2 linked regions of the Nothobranchius furzeri genome follow. The protein of the gene in region 2 interacts with the protein of the main gene of each other region in a biochemical or structural test. Links are inferred from orthologs where the notes say so. Each region holds a gene or a part of one and is shown on either strand. Other genes may lie near its edges.

Region 1 (4,220 bases), on a different chromosome or scaffold from region 2:
TAGTCTATAAATCCTTCAGGCATAAAACATTTCTGAAACTGGTGTAGTGTAGTGTAGTGGACATTTAAATCCTATTTTTTAAATTAGAATCGATGACAAAATACCAAAGATTAAACAATTTGAGAAATTAAAAAAAGGTACTTTAGCACACACACACACACACACACACACACACACACACACACACACACACACACACACACACACAAAACGGATTCCAAAAGATATATTGACTGAAAACTTGACATATGGTCGTTTCTATAACTGCACCATTTTCATTGACCTTCAGATCTACTGTAGACACATGTTTTAACCCCAACACTTCTTATTTTATCTTTCATATTCCTCGTGTTCCCAGTAAACCTCCCTGGTTCTTAAGCTGTTTTGAAAGCAATAATCGCAAATGTCAATGGAGCTAACTTTTGATTTTTCGTATTTTAAAACGCCACATTTGACACGTCATAATCTAAAACGGTCTCAAGTGTATAAACAATCACTGTCTAATGATTACATGTCTTTCTAGTTTAATGGCGATCCTTAGTTAGAGAAACAGGAAGAAGTAGAAACAGGGCCCGGCCAGTGCCACATCACTAAATAAACAGGATAACCGAGAAACTCTCGTTACCAAACAACAGTGTCTAGAAGTAGCAATTTCAAATATAAATATTATACTCACGACGAGTCTATTTAAAACCTGAATGTAAATGTAAAATGCTAGCTTATGAGCTAATGTTTACGTCTACTTCCGGATTTTATTTAACGTCAACGTAATTTTCACTTGTTTTTAAAATAAGAATTTAAATTACAACATACCTGCCAAAATGCTAAACCCTTAAATCATTCACCAAAATGTAGGCAGAAGTTTCACCAGACAGCCTGAGCTGTCTTTTGTTGCTGTTCTGGATCTCGGAAGTGATGTGGCTGCTGGAGAAGAAGAAAAAACTTCCTACTTCGCTGACTCTAGGCAGGGCCACCTACTGGCTACATAGAGTACTTCGAATTTTGTGTTACACAACACAGGTGGAACTTTTCATTTGTATTACTTTTTATTTTATTTATTTATTTTTTTGCATTATTTTTACTTCATCCAAAAAACGGAGTTTTTTCTCTTAACAGCCGAAAACACATCTGTTGAAAAAGCCGACCTGAGATCGGCTGCCTGTTTTCTGCGGTGGCTGCTCAAAACCACACAAGCACGAAAAACTGACTGCAGATCAGAAATGGTAAAAACGTGACCTTACGTCATGTAACAAACAAAGAGGCTGTGATTGGTAGATAGACGAGTGTTGTGGTGCTGCCGTCACTGGGCACGCGGCACTGTGGAAGTTGCTAGATCCGCCAGCGAAAGAAAGGAAACAAACATTAGAAGGTGAGGCGCTATTAATTATCTTATCAAATTTAGCTGTTGGAATGTTTTTACGTGTTGTTAAATGTAATCTTCAGACCTTGGGGTTTATGACAGTTCTGTTTTTGTTAGTCATTAATAAAGTAACGTTTCAATGCTAAAACAAAATGTACGCGTTTTTTTTTACAAATGCACTAAAGGGGGACACAGCGCCATAGCAGCATATTAGCCTACGCTGGCTCCGTTAGCTTTAGCTTATTCGGCTCTTTAGCTTACTCAGCTCAACAGCTGTCCTGGCTGGGTGTTTAATGACCGTTTTTTTCTCCACAGAAACCGTGACAGGATACATAAACTCGTATAAAGCGTAAAACCGTAACACAAGAGGAACGAGTCGTTTCAGGAGCCTCCAGCTGCTTTCATACACATTTTGCCTGAAGATAAAAACGACACCGCTGACTGGTTCGTGTGTGTGGAGAGCGTCAAGCTGAAACGGTAAAAGGCAGGAATGTTCAGCTCCACACACACTGAGCTCACGTACATTAACATTTTATATCCTGACTCCCGAGGAAAATACATTTCTATGTCATATTTTTTCAAAATCTCACATATATATTATAACTTAGTCGACTATAAGTATAAATAATGTCAGAAAATATGGTGTAAATAGTTGCATTTTCCCCAAAAAAGCTAATTATATTTTATATTTTTGTTTAATTTCCAATAACAATCAGTATTAATAGATTATTTAAAAAAATGCTCAACAAAATAGGGTAAATAACAGCAAATAAACCAAACTGGAGAACGTTTATTCAAACAATTGATAATTGTGTTAAAATATTGCTAAATTACTAAATTAGGTTAACATCCCCCAAAACTTCCTAACTTCCTAATATCTCCCAAAATAGCTTGAAAATGAGTTTTCTTCTTTTCTTTTTTTTTTTTTTTTTTGACAAAAGTTGCTTTTAAGAACCTCGTTTTCCTTAAATAGTAAGTGGAAGTCCTTCAAGCCCTTTCTCTAAAGATTTATGAGTTGTATCTGGAGTATGCATGAGGTCGGAGATTTTTCCAAAAGACAGGAAAAAGAATGCACAATTCTACAATTCAAGTTTGTGCCAAATAAAGTTATTTTAGTTTTCTTGTTGAAAACTACAATATGCTGTTTCAATTAGAAAAATAAAATAGTTTTAAACTTGCATGAAGTACTGAATAAAGTTTAGACACTGGACGCCTCTTACTGTAGGATGTGAGTTGTTAGCAGTCTTCAGATAATCTCCAGGAACCAAATTAAATGCAACAATTATTCTTTAAGTATATTAATCTAGACGTAAATGTTGCTATAGATAGAAACTGTTAAGCTAACATGTTTATTAAAGCTGTTTATTTGTTTGTCACTGAAAGGTGGAGCCCGGAGGCATTTGGGAGGTCATGTTATCTCATGATCCTACGTAACCATTGAACTTACACAGAATCAGGGTTGCTGCCACATTTAATTGGTTTTAGCAAAGATCAAATTGCTGTAACTCAGCCAGCTTTACAGATATGGACCTTAAATTAGTCGTGGCCGTTGTTGAGAGACATTCATTACTCTTGGTACTAACATTTCTGCAAGACTGTGTGTCACGTCAAGTTGTGTTTTTTGAGGATTCGACTAAATCGGATTTAACACACAGGTCAGATTTTTAAACCCTGGCATGAAAGGTAATGGGTGATGTACAAGGAATGTCGGGCCTTTATGTCATTGTTTCATTGGCTTTTTAGCAATATTTGTATTTTTCAGCTTGTAGCATTAAGGCTCTAAACTCATTTGTTTTTAATAGTTTTTCGTGGACTGTATGTTTGGAGGCTGGGCATCTACCTCCATATCTGTATCTTGTCCTTTGTTATGGTCCAGTAAAGTCATTCTTGTGTTCCTCTTTTTCTTAATTTCAGCTCAGGACAGAAGGTGGACAATCCCAGACTATGGCTACAGTGCATTTTCCAGGGCCCACCAACAGGGACTCGCTCTACTGGGATGAAACAGAATGCCTCAACTACTATGGGATGTTGTCTCTACATGAGATCTTTGAAATAGTTGGATGTCAGCTAACAGAGACCGATATAGAAGTTCTCTCTTTCCTTTTGAATGAAAGCTACTCTGCACCACACCCTCTCGACCCTGTAGGCTGGACTATTGAACCTGCTGAAGACGATCCAGAGGACTTGGGCTTGGCACCGACTCCACCGCTGCTGAAAGCGTGGGGACGGATAAAGCCCAAGGCATCCCAGCCATCGTCAGTGGACATAAAGCCTAAGAGTGGTGTTGGGCTGCTGTTGGAGCTTGAGAGACGAGGATATCTCTGTGATGGCAACCTGGAACCACTGCTGCAGCTGCTGAGAGTCCTCACTCGTCATGACCTGCTGCCTTTGGTGTCTCATAAAAGAAGGAGGACGGGTGAGGACTTTTAAACGAAAGTTCTTTACAGTTTGTTTTGTAAAACTCAAAGTATTTGTTATTCATGTTAATTTAGATGGCTCAGTTATAAATAATCTGTTTGTCTTCCCAGTGTCTCCAGAGAGAGTTGGACAGAGGTATGAAACGAACAGAACAGAGTTGGTGTTTGGACTGCAGCATACCTGCAGACAGACAGAGATCCCATTCTCATCTTTCACAAACCCATTTACCACCGGTGAGTGCACTGTCCAGAACCAAGGCCTACCAAACCAGCAACACACAAAGGTAACTGGGCCTTTCCACAGGACGCGTAAGCGTTAGGATTTGGGAGCGTTCCGTAAGATTCCAGAACACGTCAAACTCTGCAGTTCAGAGTGTTTGGGTTAGCTGTGGCGCCACTGCCGTTTCGTATCCGTGGCGTAGCGCCACACCTGAGCCTATGTA
Region 2 (2,463 bases):
CGTTGGCCCGAAGCCCGGCCGTTGGGCCGGGCCAACCCGAGGGCCTAGGGCTTCAGTGCAGGGCTCTAACCAAGTCACTGCTTTGCAAGTCACAAGTCTTTCCAGTCAAGTCTCGAGTCAAAGACAACCAAGTCCAAGTCGAAACCAAAGTCAATGATGTGTAAGTCCAAGTCAAGTCCAAGTCCTTAACTTTGAATTTTCAAGTCATAATCAAGTCATCTGTCAAACTTCAATTTAATGACGATGATAATAAATAAATTCCAGAAATAAAACTTCTTAAAGCTTCATTTATTTGCTCGAACAAGCAGAAAGTGCAACTGAAACTGATTCTAAACGAAGTGCTGCTTCATTTAGCAGTAAATCAAACCCAGAACGAAAAATGATTTACGATTTTTGTCCATGTCGTGCCACTTTTGTTCAAAAATGGCAAATATGCTCAAGTCATCATCAAGTCAACAGATGCAAGTTGATTCACGTCGCAAGTCATTGGGGTTCAAATCCGAGTCAAGTCATAAGTCTTTATAGATTTTATCAAGTCAAGTCAGAAGTCATTAAAATAATGACTCGAGTCTGACTCGAGTCCAAGTCATGTGACTAGAGTCCACACCTCTGGTATGTAGGCTTTATACTGTAACTGTATGTACTGTATGTGTATACAATAATAAAATATTCAATATTTCAATGCTTACAAGTACTTGAAAATAAATATTTTCATAAAGAGCGCTTGAGCCATTTCCCCGCATTCTTCTCAAAATCCTCACACAACAATAGATTGTGGGCTGAAGTCCACATCGGTGTGAATTTCGGCTAAGTGTGGCTCAAGGGTGAAAAAAGGGGCGGGGCCAAGGGCCACACTTGAGAATCCTGACACCCTGTGCACTCACAAACTGGACAGGAACGCCAATTTGAGGGGTGCAAGCATGGAAGTACGAGTATTGGGACTAGGCCAAACAGTCCCGACTCCATTCTTCCTGGTTCCATAGCCATACATATGTGAGCTTGCAAGGTTGCCAAGTGTTCAACGCAAAGACTGCGCCAGCATTTATAGTTTGACACAGGCTGGCACAGAATGGAAGTCAGTAAAAGGAGCAGCCCAGAAGTAATTTGTAAACAAAGAGCCATGGCATCTCTACGCCGCCTTTAATGAGTAAAGAAGGCTAGAGGCTAATGTTGAGCTAACAATTTTAACAGTGAATTAGAAAAACGATTGTCGACTCTGACAATTTCTCAGACTTCCCATTTCAATTATGAACAATTCTACATTACAGTGGAATGTATTTATTTACTTATCAACTTACACTCGTCTTCACTTTTCATCTTGAATGTTCTGGTGGCTGATCTGTAACTGGCAACCAGCATGAAACTCATTAAGGGGAAGGGGAAGTGGGTGAAAGTGGACTCATTTGTTTTGATACATGGATCGCAGTACCTACATTTTACCACCAGATGTCATTCTTACTGTCACTGCAATTTTTCAAATAAATGTTTTTATAGTTTCCCCATGTTATAAGTAAATAAACTAAAGAAAAAGTTAGCAAATTGTTTTTCACATTATTTTTTGTGTTATTTATTACTTTTGTTTACTTTTCTGTGTCGTTTACAGCTGGGCCATCTGCAGAGCCGTTAGCTCAACGGCAAAGCTGCCAAGCTGCTGTGCGTAGTGTACAAACATTAAAAGTCTCCCAGATTTTTCTCAAACTGATATAAAAATAAAACCAACTTCGCATATGTTTCATCTAGGAAATCAAACAAAGTCAGCCCGCGCACATAGGTAAGGCAAGCTTTAAAGTTAAAGACATCCTGATGATGCGGTTTTATAGGTGTTAATGTTTGGTGAAATACCATTTCAGATTACCGATTATTCAAAATTATAATATGTCACATGGGGGTTTTACGGTAACTAACAGGAAATCCCCACAGAACGCCCAGGTGTTTTGAATTGTTGCACATTTGAACGCATCACTCTTTCAACAGCCAGAGTAAACATGGTGGTTCCTGTACACAAAGAGGCAGCCTGCGGGGTAAATATTAACCAGTCATAAAGCATATTAAATATATTTATGTACTTATTTAAAGTGCATGTTTAACAGGTTTGTGCTTTCTTCCTGCAGAGTCCGATGGAACGGTACAACCTGAACACTAATCCAAGAGGAGTCTGTGTAATTATAGACTGTGTGGGAAATGGTGGAGGTGAGACCTAAAACATTATAATGAGGTAAAACAAAATAGAATTTTGACAAATCGCTCACATTCTTTCACAGAACAGGTTAATGCTGTCACTTTATGGATTTCTGAAAAACTCATACGTAATTCCTGAAAGGGGGAACACTCCAGATTGCTGCTTTAATGCCTATGCAGTAATTTGGTTTTGTGATTTGCATTTTTGTGGAAAACTGAATTAAGGAATTAAATTTATTCTACAGGGCTAATTTTCTTATTGTACAAGTGGCTTGAGTGACTACA

Evidence for each region.
Region 1: the proteins of CASP8 and FADD-like apoptosis regulator (region 2) and dedd1 form a complex in vitro, tested with the Homo sapiens proteins (2 studies listed by BioGRID). The link is inferred for Nothobranchius furzeri from reciprocal best matches to the Homo sapiens genes CFLAR and DEDD2.

The regions. Positions count from the first base shown.
Region 1 is NC_091745.1:74,797,122-74,801,341, forward strand, and holds the start of dedd1 (death effector domain-containing 1), read left to right. Parts: upstream 1-1,264; 5' UTR 1,265-1,369; intron 1,370-1,675; 5' UTR 1,676-1,837; exon of another isoform or gene 1,838-1,844; intron 1,845-3,274; 5' UTR 3,275-3,304; coding exon 3,305-3,776; intron 3,777-3,888; coding exon 3,889-4,011; intron 4,012-4,220. UniProt on the Homo sapiens protein: May play a critical role in death receptor-induced apoptosis and may target CASP8 and CASP10 to the nucleus. May regulate degradation of intermediate filaments during apoptosis.
Region 2 is NC_091754.1:17,632,877-17,635,339, reverse strand, and holds part of CASP8 and FADD-like apoptosis regulator, read left to right. Parts: intron 1-1,603; coding exon 1,604-1,653; intron 1,654-1,740; coding exon 1,741-1,771; intron 1,772-1,974; coding exon 1,975-2,021; intron 2,022-2,111; coding exon 2,112-2,190; intron 2,191-2,463. UniProt on the Homo sapiens protein: Apoptosis regulator protein which may function as a crucial link between cell survival and cell death pathways in mammalian cells. Acts as an inhibitor of TNFRSF6 mediated apoptosis.